Tamandua tetradactyla: one gene and its partner. The main gene of each other region encodes a partner of the protein of the gene in region 2 in a complex. Links are inferred from orthologs where the notes say so. Each region holds a gene or a part of one and is shown on either strand. Other genes may lie near its edges.

Region 1 (8,018 bases), on a different chromosome or scaffold from region 2:
CTTCACATATCTGTTAAGGTAAATATTTACAAAATCTTTCTTAACTTTTAAGAGAGAAAATATAGCTAGATTTACTTTAATTTTTACAAAAGTTTTGTAATACTGACATGATTCAGTATGACAAAAAGACAAATGGTTTTAGAAGAAGCTTTTGAAATCTGGGAAGTTACTTGCTAAATCTGAGTAAATAGGTGCCCAATTTTCAAAAGTGATACACAGTGCTCAATACATCTGCACTTCTCTGAGCCTACAAATAAAGCCTTCTATAATACAGAGAGCCGAGTCACTTTTTAAAAAAGTAAGCATAAATTTACTCTTCTGGATACATTGTTTCTATCTGAAAGTCTGTAAAATCAACTTTAATCAATTTTTCCCTCCCCCTCACTATATTCCAAAAAAATCACAAGTTAGGTTAGAGTCTGAGACAAAAAAAATTAAAAGGAAGAAAAAAAAAGCATGAAGTTTCCTGAGGCCTCCCTTCTTTGAGCCATTTTAAAGGCCACAGCCAGTTACAGTCCATATTTCTTAAGAGAACCTAGTATACCATTACAATTCAAACACAATATAATCTAACATTAACATAACATTGAAACCAATGATTCAATTTGAGTTCAACAGATTTCTAGATTTTTTTAAAGTAAAATAATCTAATACTAAAAAGAGAGAATGGGGGGGAGACATGATGTGATTATTTGCCCCAATCCATAAATCCATTACTGCAGCCCAAATTTGGATGCATACAGAGATTTAAAAAAGGAAATGACCCCAGCTGAGTCCCTCCTCAATACATTTCAAAACATTGTTTCTGCATTAAATGATGTTACTCACTACAAATAAGTTATCATGGCTAGGCATGCTGCTCCTCAATTAACATGTGTCATTTCAGACGTTAAAAGCAACTCTGTAAGGAATATATTATTATTCCCATTTAATAGATAGGAAAGCTAGGACTCAAAGAGGATACAAAACTGCCAAGTGGCAGAGCTACATTTCAAACCCAAGGCTGCCTGACTTCATCATTATATCAATTTTTTTAACTTTTCCAAATACAACTACTGCTTTGTAACAAGCACAATTATTAGAATTGTATATGTACCTACACTATAAATTAGATCAATCTGATCAAAGGGATAGGATTTACAAAGTGACTCCAATTCTTATCTCAAAGGAGCATGATAAAATTTATATAGTTAACTGAGCTCAGCTTCACTCAGGTTAAAGTCTCTCTTTTCTACATATGAAAGTTCTTAAATGGATACTTAGCTTGTTTTTCTGTATTTTTAGTGGTTTTAGATACACATTTCACACTACTATATCCATGAAAAAAAATAATCATTTCAAGTTTCCTTTCCCCAAAAAAAGAACATCATATTACAAAAAAAAGCCAATAAACAAGCAAGTTTTCTTTATATTTCAATGAAACATTCCTCAGAGGCAGTTTGGATTGTATTCATCTCTCTTTTTTCAAGTTTTACTGACTCCTGTTGCTATATTACTGCAAGGACTAAGAATCACAAGTTACCTATTTTCTCCAACAAGAGAACAAAACATGTTTGAGTCATTCCTGTAACCAAACCAGTTGAACTCCTAGTCTCCTGCTAAACAGGGATTTCAAATGTCATCTTAAAGGAGACAGAACTGATGGCATTTCTCTTTAGAACTGTTCTACATCTAATCCCTGGCCTCTACAAACTCTTATTGGCTGATTGAGTCACAGCAACCCCTGGGCTCTAAATAAAGGCTGATAAAAATGCTTCACTTCTGTTCCTTCCCCAACAAACCAATTAACAAAAGAATCTTAATCATCCTTCCATTCAGTCATTGCTGAATAAACACCACAATGTATAAATTCCCTGGGAAATGACCTTACTGGAAACCTATTCCCGAGCCTGGAATAAACCGTGTTTCTGCTCAATCCCTTCTCTTCTCTTCAAGTGACAAACATCCTCAAAAGACCAACCTTTCATTCACAAGGTAATAAACTCTGCTGACCACACTGCATCTCCTCGTTTAAAACAACTAGCTCTGCAAAAGCAAGGCCCCCTAACACCACAGATTAATATCGTTGAACTACCGTCGACTGACTAGTCCTATCCCTACCCAGCTTCTAGCAGCAGGCTCAGCAATCAGCTGGATCTCGGCCCCTGGAAGATGAGCGAAAAGGAATAACCGAAGAAAAGAGAGATTTGTAGAATTACAGGAGCCAAACCGAGCATATACAATTCAGACCGTACTGGTCTCCCGCCTTTCTCATAAAGGAGCCCTTCGTCCCAAGTGGTGATTTGAAGGAGGCTCTTAATCCTTTCGCTTTCCCGCAAATCTGAGGGTCTAGCTACCCTACGGGGAAAATGACAGTCCAGAGTTAACCCGTCAGTTACCCTTACTGAGCAAACTCGAGAGAATGCCCAGTTTCAAGCACTTTAAAAACGTGGCAAGTCCAATTTAACCCTTTCCAAGCCCCAGTGGCGTCGAAGACACAGTCCTTCGAAAATGACTAGACGGAATTAACCCTTCAGCTGCCGATCTCAGCACTACACGTCAGCCACCACCTCGCGGGGAATTCCAAATCCTGGCCGGGCCTGGTAGCCCTCTCGCCTCTCCCCCCACCCTCGACATTTGTCCCCTGGCGCTGAGGAAAGCCCAACCCGAGCCAGAGGGAAAAAGCTGGGCCGGACTCGCGCACCACGGAACCCCGAGCGGGCCGGCGAAGCTCACCGCGATGACATTGACGAACGTAGTCTTGCCAGAGTACTGCAGCCCCACCAGCGTCAGCTCCATCTCCTCCTTCCAGAAGAGCGAGCGGAACCAGTCCAGCAGGCGGGAGATGAGCGCCAGCATGATGGCGGCTAGAAATCAGGACCGGCAACCAGATGGACGGGCGGTGGCGGCAACGGCTCCCACACGAACGGGCCGTAGCCCGGACCCCTCAACGGCTCCTCGGGGTCCCGGGGCGACGCGGGCTGACACTGGCGGGCGGCGGCGGCCGGAGCCAGGAAGCCGAGCGGGTCATATGACTCGCCCTCCCCCTACGTCCGTCCCCGCGCAGATGCCGGCGCCCACGGCAAGAGCGGCGTAATTCTCTGGCCAGGTGCGCCCGCCGCGCGCAACGCCACCTGGTGGGGCTATCCCGCAGCTCAGCCTTCCGATCGGCTGTCCTAGGTCATCACCCCTCCTTAGCTCATTCATTGTTGGTTAATATCATTCCTTCACTCATCTCCATTCTCTCAGTCACTCATTCACTCGCTTATTCATTCACTCACTCACTCACTCACTCATTCATTCATTCATTCATTCATTCATTCATTGTGCATCTAACCCTTGCAGAAGACTACAGGACTCTGAGGAATTCATCATGGGATAAAAATTCTTGACCTACATTGTTGGTAATAGGAAAAGATAGAAAGCCACGATAAGGATCTGATTAAATAAACTATGTTAGATCCCAAAAATGGAATACTACAGACTTGTAAAAAATGAATGAGGATCTACTTAAAATGGATCAAAGACCTAAATATAAGAACGAGAACTATAAAACTCCTAGCATCTCCAGGACCTTGTGTTAGGCAGTGATTTCTGAGATTTACACCCAAAGCACAAGCAAGAAGTGAAAAAACAGATGAATGGAACCTCACCAAAATTAAAAACTTCTGTGGATCAAAGGAATTTGTAATGAAATTAAAATGACAACCTACACAGTGGGAGGAAATATTTGGAAACCACATATCTGATAAGGGTTTACTATCCAGAATATATAAAGAAATCCTACAACTGAACAGCAAAAAGATATATAACCCAATCTAAAAATGGCAAAAGACTCGAATACACATTTCTACAAAGAGGATATACAAATGGAAAAAAAACATGAAAATGAAAAAGCTAGAGTGAGCACAGCCCAAATACCCCTAAAAAGTGAGAGAAAAATCAAAGGTGATGGTGGTAAGGTTTAACAAATGAGTATGATTACTGAATCATTATATCAATGTTTCTTTTAGTTTCCAGTACCTGAGAGCAGCTAGAAGTAAAAATGAAAAATTGTGGAATTGTAACTCATACCAAACTCTGAAATCTGTTCTACAACTAATTGTTGCGATGTAGTTTGAAATGTATTGCTTTTTTTTGTATATATGCTGTTTATCACAAAAAAAAGGAGAGAGAAGGAGTATAACAGAGAAGATAAGATTTATCCAATGAGACTGCCGAATCATTATATTGATATTTCTTTTGGTCTCCAGTGTTCTGGAGCAGCTAGAAGAAAAAATGAAAAATCTTGGGACTATAACCCATACCAAATTTTAAAATTTGTTCTACAACTACTTGTAAAAATGTATTTGGAAATGTATTGCTTTTTGTGTATGTTCTATTTCACGATAAAGAAAATGTTAAAAAGAAAACGCATGAAAAGTTGTTCCATGTCATTAGCCAATCCACTAGAATGGCAACTATTAAAAAAATTGAAAAACTACAAGTACTGAAGAGGATGTGAAGAAATAAGAACACTCATTCATTGTTGGGAATGTAAAATGGTGCAGCCACTGTGGAAGACTGCTTGGCATTTCCTCAGAAAGCTAAGTATAGAACTATCACATGACCTAGGAATCCCACTACTAAATATTGACCTCCAAGAAGTGGAAGCAGAGATTGAAACAGATATTTGCACACCAGTGTTCATAGTGGCATTATTCACAATTGCCAAAAGATGGAAGCAACACAAGAGTCCATTGATTGATGAATGGATAAACAAAATGTGGTTTATACATGCAATGGAATATTACTCAGTCATAAAAAATGAAGTTTTGATGCATGTGACAACATGGATGAAGCTTGGAGATATGTTGAGTGAAACAGGACAAACACAAAAATGACAACTATTGTATGATCTCACAGTTATGAAATAGAATACGCAAATTCATAGAGTAAAAAACTATAATTTAGGTTACCTGGGACTGAGGTAACAGTTGGGGATGTGAAGTTCATGTTTTAATTGTACAGGGCTTCTATCTGGCATGGTGGGAAAATTTGGGTAATGGATGGTGAGATAGCAACACAACATTGTGAACATAATTAAAAGCCCTAAAATGTATATTTGAATTCAGTGAAAAGGGGGAATTTGGGGTTGTATATATGTTACTAGAATAAATTTTTTAAAAAGAAAATACATAGGACTATACAAAGCAAACATTGAACCCTAGGATAAACCATGCACTATAGTTCAATTATAAAAATATTCCTTCATCAGTTGCAACAAATGTTCCATGCTAATGACGGATGTTAATAATAGGATGGTATATGAAAACTCTGTGTTTTATCAGGATTTTGCTGCAAACATACAACTCCTCTAAAAAAAAAAAAAAAAACCAGAAGGGGGGATGAAGGATTATTGCTTAACAGGTAAAGAGTTTCTGTTTGGATGATGAAAGTTTTAGTAATGGAAGGTGGTAACGGTAGCACAATACTGCAAAAGTAATCAATGCACATTTGCATTGATTGCAAATGACTTGCACATCTAAAAGTGGTTAAAATGGCAAATATTGTGCTTTCTATATATGGTAACACAATGTAAAAAACTTAAAAATTATTTTTTAAAAAAGAATGAGAAAAAAAACAAAACGAGGAAGTTCTTTATGGACAGATTTGAATGACATCCAGGAAGTATTCACAAGAAACAAAAAAGCAAAGTGCTTTGGTGTAAGATAGAAAAGAAAATATATGCACGTATATATTTGCATAAAGAAATACTGGAAGGATAAATAATATAGTGATAAAAAATGGATTTATGGGATCCAGGTGGCCATGGGCATGAATGCGAATGAGTCCTCTGGGTACCTTTTTATATCTCTTTGACTTTTCAACCATGTAAATGGGTTGCCTGTTCCAAATTTTAATTTGATTGAAAAGCAAATAAAATATCCTTACGGCTTTCAATTTTTTGAAAAAGCCCCTGTTGTCATGGAGTTTACTTACCTTCAAGTGTGGGACACATATAATACCATAAATAATATAGGATATAATGCCTGGTAGTGATAAATGTTATGGAAAAAACTGAACAGGAGAAGGAGGCAGAGAGTAGCCCTCTTGGAGGAGGCAGCCCTGGGTGCAGAGAATTGGGTGAGTGAGAAAGAGAACATACATCTGGTGCAAAAGCATCCCAGGCAGAGAGAACAGCAAAGACCTTGATGGTGGAAGGAACAGGACATGTTCTAGGGACCGAAAGACAGGGTGAGAAACGCCGATTAGTAAGAGAGGCAGTGGAAGAAGAGGATGGAGAAAGAGGGTCAGACCAGGTGAAGTAGGACATGGTGGCCCTAGTTTGGATTTCACTCTCAGTATAGTGGGAGCTTTTGAAAAGTTCACTTTGGTGGCTCCAAGGGGAACTGACTGCAGGAGGACAAGAGCAGAAGCAGTGAGACCAGTAAGGAGGCTATTACATTAACTAAAGGCAATGATTTTGCCTTTAGTTAGTAGTGGGAACGCTACTTAGTAGGCATTTAGGTTTCTGCTGTCAGGCAGCTTCCATTCTGATGGAAGAGATAGACAATGAACAATAAATTAATAAATAAGCTAATTTCATATATATATATATATATATATATAACGAAATTGTATCCCTGTGGTGGATATACAACAGAGGGCTACTGGGCATCTCTTCCCTACTCCATGTTCAGAAATATCACTTTTGGTAACTTGAAATTAACCACGGGGGGAAGTATCTACACCTCAGAAATTGACAAACACTTTGAATTAGGACTTTTTTCCCTCCCAGAGAATCAGCTGTTATGCATTTACCAGCAAATCATTGATAATACCTAACTCACAGCATTAAAATGAGGATTACATAAAATAATATTAAATTAGATTAAGTAAGGTAATGAAAAGCAGATAATATAATTATTGAGCACTGGCTACATCATTAAATTGACTGATTCCAATCACACAGATCTTAGCTGTGTGATCTGGGCAAGGAGCTCAACCTCTCTGTGCCTCCATTTCCTGGAAAAGAAGATACCATTATTATCTGCCTCAGAGGGTTATTGTGAGGTGTAAATGGAAGAGTCCAATACCAATGCACAATGCAGCATTAGCACTCACTAAATGCTAATTATTATAGTAGTTCTGGACGATTGGTTAACAGTTCAAAGGTTCAGTTTCTCATCTCTAAAATAGAAGCAAGGACACCACCTTTAGTTACTGTTTTAACTGAGGAGGCATTTTCTGCTGGGTGAGCTCAGTAGTGTGTAAAGCCCAGTGTACTGTTCCCTTTGATCTTTGTCTAGAATTAAGTTAAAAGAATGGGAACCCAGGTTCATGTGCTCGGACACATGGATCCATTCACAGATTACGTAAAAGGTCAGGAACCCCAGTGTCCTGGGAATGTGGATGGAGGGCGCAGAGGCAAAAGATAAGATTGACCTGCATATTTGCTGTGTGACTGTGTAAGAAAGGTAAATTTTTACGGCATCAGAGATGAATGAATCCTTGAAGACCATTCTAGATTTACCTACAGTAAAACTGATTCACAGAGGAGGGAAATATCACACTTCAGGAAATAATTTTAATTTATAAACCCCTTAAGGACCGAGACCATTTCTACCTAAATCAACACTCAATATGTTCCCCCTGGCAAAGTGGGACAGAACTCCTGGGATGAGCCTCAATCCAGCATCATGAGAAAATCTTCTTGACCAAAAGTGGGAAGAGAGACTGAGACAAAATAAAGTTTCAGTGGCTGAGGGATTTCAAACAGAGTCAAGAGGTTATCCTGGAGGTTATTCTTACACATTATATAGAAATCCCTTTTTAGTTTATGGTGTATTGAAGTAGCTGGAGAGAAGTACCTGAAACTGTTGAGCTATGTTTCAGTAGCTTTGATTCTTGAAGACAATTGTATAAAGATACAACTTGTACAGTGTGACTGTGGGATTGTGAAAACCTTCTGTCTATTGCTCCTTTTATCCACGGTATGGACAAGGAGTAAAAAATATGGATAAGGAATAAATAAATAAGAGCGGGGACAAAGAGTA
Region 2 (7,912 bases):
TATTTTACTACCTCAGTGAACCGAAATGAAGAGAATTTATTAAATCAACCATTATATTTTGAAAACTGTGCTTTTTTCCCCAACAGTAATACAGGCAAGCAATTTTACATTTCGAAGAGGTAAATGTGGCTTAAAAAGAAAAGCAGAACAGAGCAGACCACCGTGGTGCAATAGGCAGAGTTCTCACCTGCCATGCCAGAGACCTGGGTTCAATTCCTGGTGCCTGCCCAAGCAGGAAAAAAAAAAAAAGCTCTTACCAAAATGTTTCTCTGAAAGTACTGTTAAAAGTTTACCACCACTGAAACCCAACAAGAGTTGTATTAATTTTCTGGAGCTCTGCTAATGCAATGGGATATAGTTTTTGCTTACTCAAGGAGAGTAGGAGGAGCAAAATACTCAGTTAAAGTATTTGCATCTTTCATAATGGGAGAGAAAGCAAGACTGCTGATGTTTCCAATAGAATCTGGATCGATTATGGCTACATTTGGGCTGAACATTTTGTCTTTCGATTCTAGATATATGGGGACGGTCCCTGGATGAGTAGGTGATGCCATGGGCAGTCTGTTCCTATGTGAGCACGGGTCTTTTGAAGGCACGGATCCATTGTGAAGGCACGGATCCATTGTGGAGGCACGGATCCATTGTAAACCAGGCTCTCATTTATGAAAGAGTTGAGTGTGTTTGCCAAGATACTTATAGTTGTGTACATTTGGACAAGCACATTTGACTGAGCTATAATGACCTCCAGAAAATGTAAGTTGCTCTCTAGAAACTGGAACTGGGTGCATAATCAAAGATGTGACTAGTTTCATGGTTAAGAACATGGATTCTAGAGTCTGGCTGCTGGGCTTGCATCCCCATCTTGTCAATTAATAATCCTTAATTAAGAGTTCTACCACTCCGTGCCTCAGTTTCCTCATCTGTAAAGCAGAGGTAGCATTAGGGTTGATGTGAAGATTAAATGAAATTATGTATGTAGGATATTTAGCGTGGTGCCTGACACCCCCCGCCCCCATCTTAATAAATGGTAGCTTGTTTGTGGTAGAGCCAATTTCTCACTTTTACAAGGTCTGAAGATGTCTCAAGTGCTAAAGGTTGTTATATAATACCATTTAGACCTGTTAGCCACTTCCTTTGTATGCTTTATTTCAGAGAACTGTGATACGATTCTTGCATTATCAAGTGTATTTGGTTTTCTGAATCAGAGTCGCTGCTTCTAGTAAGAATCTGTAAATTTGCCTTAAGTAGTAGGTGTTGAAGGTCAGCAGTCTTGGGGTTAGATTTGTCTTTGAAGACCAGTCTCACTTAAATTTGTTCTACAGCGCCTTAATAGTTGCATGGCCTTTTTCTTCCATCCTACCACTAGTAAAGTGCCTTCCCTAAGGATGTTACATAAATGAGATGTGTAAATTCTGCAAAGAAAGATGCATTATGTATCTCTGTGTTTGCATATAACTTACCTACAGAAAAGCACACAGATCCTAAGGGTGCAGCTTGAGTTCTCACAAAGTGAATACACCCACATATCCAGCACCCCAATCAAGGAACAGAACATGACAAGCATCCCAGAAGCCCTGCTCATGTGTCCCTTCCCTGAAACCACACCCCCAACAGTGATCACCATCCCCAAGCAGCATTGGTGAGTTGAACTATTTTCACACCTAGATTTTGTGATAACAAGCATGCACTGGAAGACCAAATTGATGCATCAGCTGTTATCCCACCCACAGTGAAGGAAACCTGTGTTCTCTGATACGGAGCCAGGCTTCTCCGGGGTTAAGGGAAATTGGGGGATTTAATAGTTGATACAAATAAAGACAATAAGGAGAAGCAAGTGTCATACTTTTCAGAAGAGGGATAGCAAAAACATCCCAGGTGCAGATAACAAAGCTTGTGGTTACTGATTTAATACTTAAAGAGAAAGGTCCAAGGCAGCTATAATGTTGATGTTGGAATTGGCGTGTGGTAATACTGAATAGTAGCATCTTCTCCAGGAGAGGGAAGCCAGTGGTTTTCATGGGAGTTTTATTTAACATCTGAAGCGCATTGAGTGTTTGTTGCATTTGCATGCAGTGTGAACTAAGGCTTTGTGCTATAAGAAGCAATCTCTGGGGCGGGCCACAGTGGCTCAGCAGGTAAGAGTGCTTGCCTGCCAAGCCTGAGGACCTGGGTTCAATTCCCAGTGCCTGCCCATGTAAAAAAAAGAAAAGAAAAGAAAAGAAAAGCAGCAGTCTCTGCCCTCCAACAGTTTGTATATTGGCTGGGGAGAGAATTAAAAAAAAAAAAAACTAGGACAAGGAGAAGCCCTCAGTGAAGGAAGGCTGAATTGATTTTGACAGATGGGTAGAATTCAGAGAAAGAAAATAAGTAGGTGTACAAGATGGGAGGAGTCTAAGCCTCCCCACGGAAGTGGGGGTGTTCAGGTGGTCTTTTGGGGACAGTGAGGAGACAGACCAGTTTCAAGAGCACTGGGGGTTCTGCTACATGTGGCTGGAAAGTGCTTTTGTGAAAACCGTATGAATATAAGTTGCAACAGAGATAAACAGATGTGGGTCCAGGTTCCGATTCTGGGTCCCTCACTGACCATGGTAGCCCCAGAAAATTACTGGACCTCTTTTAGCCTCAGCAGCCAGAACTTACATCTAGCATTGTAATGAGAATTAAATTACATGAGATAATATACTTAAAGCACTTAGCATAATACCTAGCACATAGGGCCAAAATAAAATGCTAGCTACTATTATTACATACAAATGTCATGTGAGCCTGCAGTTTACTCAGGGAAGTTTTTAAGTTAAAGTCTTATAGCATTTCTCAGTTTCTTGAAGCTCAGGGTTCTGCAAATTTTTTCTTAAAAGACCAGATAGTAAATATTTTTATGGGTCATATGCGCCCTTGTAGCTCACAAGCAACCGTAGGTAATCCGTAAACATATAGATGTGGCTGTGTTCTAATAAAACTTTATCTATAAAATTAGGCAGCAGGCTGGATTTGGCCCTCAGGCTGTAGTTTCCTGACCCCTGTTATTTTCCTTGACCCAAACCCTTGTCTCAAAAGTATATATCAGGTTTAGAGAAGAGAAATGAACCATAGTTACAGACAAGAACATGTATATGTGTATGTATGAGTGTGTGCCCAAGAAGTCCTCACCCAGGTAGACTGGGAATCACTCTCAGAGAAGTTGGTGTGACCAGTCCTGCACTTACCCACCTCTCTGTTGTGACTGTCTTTGCCCATCAGGTCAGCCTTGTCGAGGGAACTGGACACTTTTAAGTCCCATCAAGTGTCTATGCATTCAGTTATTTGAAAATATTTGCTGAACACTTACTATGTGTTGGCACTGTTCTAGGCCTAAGGGTTATGGGAGTGAACAAAGGCAAATCAGGTCTGTGCCCTTATGGAGCTGATATTCAAGTAGCAGACGATGAGTGATAAATTAATAGACAGATAATAAAAAGATTAATTTGGATCCCAGTAAGTGTTAAGAAGGCACTAGGCAGGATAATATAAGGAATCAGCCAGAAGCTTGCTTTGGAGGAGGTGGTCCCAGAAGACTTCCCTAAGGACGTGATGTTGTATCCAGCAAGAAACACTGACTAGGATAACAAGGAAAAATCATTCTAAATATATAATAAGTAGTTATTTTTAAAAATACACAAATCCTCAGGCAGAGTTCTTGCCTGCCATGCCGGAGACCCGGGTTCAATTTCTGGTGCCTGCCCATGCGAAAAAACAAAACACAAATCCTATTTTGGGGTGATGAAAAGATTTTGTAGTGAAAAGAGATGATGGTACCATAATGCTGTAAAAATAACTAATGTCATAGAATTTGTATGCTTCAAAATGGTTGAAATGGCAAATTTTCATGTTGCTTATATATGTTACCACAATACTAATAATAAAAAGCCACACAAATTGCTCAAAAGTGTATGATGTAAAAAAATGAGTCCCCTTTTCTCCCTCTCCTCTGCCATGATTCCGCTCCCCTAAAGTAGGACAAATGAATTTTAAGAAACAGTCATCCCTCAGCGCCCGTGACTGAGCCACAGCCATCTCTTCCTAGGCCTCCCGCCTGCCTCCTCGATGTGGCAGGCACTTACGCCCGGCCACGTGAGGCCCTGAGTGCAGTTCTATTTCCGGCCGGGCACACCCCATGCTGAGCAGGAGTCCCAGTCAGGATCTACCAAGCTGCAGCTGTTGCTCAACCCGGCCCGTCTGGGTGGCTGCAGGGCCCCCCTGGGCTGATGAGCTTTTCCCTATTTTCCCACTCCACACATAAGTTAGATCTGCTACTGCGTTAAAAATTAGCTGCTGATTGAAAATTCTGGAGAAGGACTGGTTGATATCTGTGAGAATCATGTTGGCCATTTGGTTTAGATTAATTGGGTTTTTCTCTCTAATCTCATGGAAAAAAACTCTTAAGAGTTTTAAATGTTCTGAAATCCCTGAGGACCTACACCAGGGCAAAGATCTAAATAAAATACTTCAGGCACATGTATTTTACTGTGGAAGTGGTAAGGACCAGGTTTCCTTCTCCTGGCTTCCTCTTCCTCTGCCTATGTGCTCATGTTGGTAGCAGAGGCCGCAGCTATTTCTCTTCTCCTTTCCTCTCTTCTACAGAATCGAGGCCATCCAGAAGGTCCCCAGCCAGGATCCTCTGAGGTGTGCACAGCGGGCTCCCCAGCCTATGAGTAACTCCATCCAATAGGCTCCCTGTTTGAAAGGGGTGAACTACAGCTGACTTTCTGATCACAGCAACCATTAACACTTGGGAGTTTCAGATGGAGCACTGAAAAGAAATTCCCAGCAAGATTTCTTGGGGTGGGTGGGGGTGGGGGTGAGAGGGTGGGACTAGGTCCAGAATATGGGAAGAAAGGAGCTGGTGTTAAGAGTGTGAGCACGGTGGGGAGAGTTAGGTTGGCATTTGTAGATCCCGTGGGGTTCTCTGGGTCCTTCTGCACTCTTGGGTCACTGGTGCTTGTCTCAGACCTCAGGATTCATCACCATGGCAAGAGCGTGAAGCTCGTGGAACCCCTGTGTCTAAGGAAAGTCTTTTCTCCCTTAGGATAAAGGACTTTTCCAGGTAGTCTCACTGATAAGGCAGTTTTCTCAGCTGGAGCTCTGCAGTGCAGAAACCTGGTAAAATGAACAACTCCAAACCCAGAATCTCTTCCTTGAGAGTAAACTAGCCAGCAGGCCTGGCTTGTTTGAGCAAACTTTCATTTCCAGCCCTGTCCGTCTCCTCATTGTTGCTTGCTCAAGGTGCAAACATCCTAAAACTTCCATTTGAGACAGAACAAGGAAGATTTCTGGGTGAGTCCATTTGGCTGGAGCTGTTGTTTATTGTAACTGTCCCAGGGCCCTGAATGCAGGTCCGCTCTTCTCAACAAAGCGGCTGGCCCTGCCTCCCCATCATTATCTCCCATTCTACGTATTTGTGATTTATCTTTCCCCCCTTGCTTATAAGTGTGTACAAATATTATGGAAATTAATGAGAAAGAAAGTATTAGTTTCCTATAATCCCCACAATTTGTATTTAAGGTTGGAACTAACAGATTCTAAGAAGCCTAATCAGATGTGAGAACAAGGAAGAGACTAGTGAAATCCATAAAAATCTCTAGACTTAATGTTAGTGAGAAATTAACTTTTTCTCTTCACGTTTTCCCCCAAAGTCCTTTGTTTTTTCGGTGTTAACAGACTACTGAGGCATGAAGTATCCAAACGCAATGGGAGGCAGGGGAGTTACAGAACCTCCAAGAATCCTTACACTGAGTCAGCACCTGCTGTATGCCAGGCACTGTGTGATGTGTTTTCACGTGCTTTCTCATCTCGTCTCGGAGCAGGTCTACAGGATGGCTTATGATCCAGTGTTATACATGAGGGAGGTGAGATTTGGAGACGTAAGGTTATGACGCTTGTAGGGGCAGAGTTGGGATTTGAACTATTTTCTGGCTCCTGCTCCTTCAATCTCTGAGTCTTTTCCATCTCTGTGATGTCTGTCTTGAGATTATGACAGGTAATATGTCCCCACAGGTCAGTCCTGTGGGCTGGTCCCCCATAAAACCACCCATTCATTTAACAAGTATTTGTTGAATGACTGTTCTGTGCTGAGTACATTCCTAGGCATTAGGAATCAGCAGTGATCAAAACATACCAAGAAGCTTCTGTCCCCATGGGGCTTATATTCTAGATGGGGAGACAGACATGAAACAAATTGCAGTGGGACAGTGTACACCCTCCCAGACATTCCTGTGGATTTGTAGTCCATGAAGTTCTCATTCTTCTTAGCCCTGGATTTACATTTTCAATCTGTGAAGTATTTGTGTTATCTGGGACTTGGAAAGCAGGCAAGGATCTCCCCAGTGACCTCCAGACCTAATGTGATTTAAACAGGGATTTGATGACGCTTTTTCCGTAGTAACAAACAGGGCATCATGCACTCATGAGGTCATGTTGTAGGTCCAGCAGAGGAAAAGGGAAGTGAGAGATGAACACAGACCCGGTAAAGCCTTCTTTGCTTTGGAGGACTGGCTAAAATGATGCTTTGAAAACTCTCTTCCTCCTGCCAGTGCCACACACAGCACTGAGCGTGGGGCGCTCAGAAAGCACGGCCCTGGCACGGGGATCCTGCAGCTCCAGTCCTGTCCCAGCAGAAAAGGGCTTGAGTGGACTCGTGGTTGCTGCATGTTCCTTCTGGCCATTGGTTGCCTTCTGGTTGTTTGCCTAGGGACCTCTTGGCGGAGCCTTTTACCATCTTCCCTCCCACTTTGAAAGGAATCCGTGGTTCTTATGTACGAGGTCAAGCTCTGCTGAGTTCAGAGGCGGAACAATCATTGTTCCTTGAGCTTGGACACTTGCCTTGTAAGAAGGAAAAGGATTTAACTGCCTTGGGGAACCATAGGTTGTGAAAATACCTAAGCGTTCTGGTCCCTACGAGGCTCGTCCCTTCAGTTGTCACACTCTTTCTGTTGTCTAAATACGTTTGTTCTCCACGGGGCCAGTAGGGAGGATGCTGTTACCTGGCGACCTCTCCCTGGGCAGCAGAAGGGAGCTGCACATCCCTTGTGGTGAGCAGGGATCAGCGGCACAGCCATGGAGCACAGAGTGGTCAGACAGTTTAAAACATGCACGCCGCTTCCCTGTCTAGCCTCACAAACTCTCTCGAGGTGGGTAGGGGAAGTAGTTTTTTATCCTGCTCCATAAATATAGAAGTGGTGACCCTTCTCTCCCCCCACCTCCACCTCCAGTACAGCCTGCGAGCTGGTAGCAGAGTTAGAATCCAGAGCACCCGATCTGTTTAGTATTATAACCTCTTCTTGGTTTTGCTCGACCAGGGAGAATGTACAAAAGGAGGGCATCCATAACCATTTTATTTTCATTTCGCCATTTATAACCTTTCACAGCCATCTTAGGGTTAGCTTTTACAGACCAATTCTGGAAAGATTGTTTGGTGTCAACCATAGTACTAGAAATAGTTTTGCATTCTTTGTGTGTCTATAAGAGAGAAATGAGACAGAGAGGGCTAGGCTCTGGCAGCTCAGAGCAAACAGAGTGTGGGACCAACCCTAATTAAAATGCTCAGTGCAGGCATTTCTTGGCCTGCTGGAGAAAGCCACCCACGTTTCCCTGCAGCCACGGGACCTGGCGCAATCCGGGAAGGCCAGTCTTCCCCAAGTTCTTAGGAGGAGCGCCATCCTCCTGGCTTTGAGAGACAGCCCCAACGGGTGCAGCCCACCCGTTCTCAGTCTCAGGGCCTAAGCAAGTTCGAGGAATCAGGAGCAGGCAAAGAGCAGCCTAGCAAATCCAAGGTATAAGGTGTGGTCTCTGAACGTGACTCGTAGTTAATGGACTCCAGGGAGAAACAACTTTAACAAAAAATCACTTTATTTTGCCCCCTCTCATCATTCTCAGC

The links.
Region 1: the proteins of PLEKHM2 (region 2) and ARL8B are in contact, whole or in part, in a crystal structure (PDB 8JCA), measured with the Homo sapiens proteins. The link is inferred for Tamandua tetradactyla from reciprocal best matches to the Homo sapiens genes PLEKHM2 and ARL8B. Residues at the interface, in NP_055979.2 of Homo sapiens: His70, Phe71, Thr72, Arg73, Arg74, Glu75, Glu103, Ser105, Glu107, Ser108, Tyr109, Arg111, Leu112, Glu115, Glu147, Phe148; in NP_060654.1 of Homo sapiens: Glu22, Thr52, Val53, Gly54, Phe55, Asn56, Met57, Lys68, Trp70, Arg77, Phe78, Arg84, Tyr85, Arg87, Gly88, Val89.

Annotation. Positions count from the first base shown.
Region 1 is NC_135335.1:44,398,573-44,406,590, forward strand, and holds the start of ARL8B (ADP-ribosylation factor-like protein 8B), read right to left. Parts: upstream 3,042-8,018; 5' UTR 2,839-3,041; coding exon 2,716-2,838; intron 1-2,715. UniProt on the Homo sapiens protein: Small GTPase which cycles between active GTP-bound and inactive GDP-bound states.
Region 2 is NC_135328.1:210,183,931-210,191,842, reverse strand, and holds the start of PLEKHM2 (pleckstrin homology domain-containing family M member 2), read left to right. Parts: upstream 1-4,885; 5' UTR 4,886-5,313; exon of another isoform or gene 5,314-5,697; 5' UTR 5,698-5,708; coding exon 5,709-5,885; intron 5,886-7,912. UniProt on the Homo sapiens protein: Plays a role in lysosomes movement and localization at the cell periphery acting as an effector of ARL8B.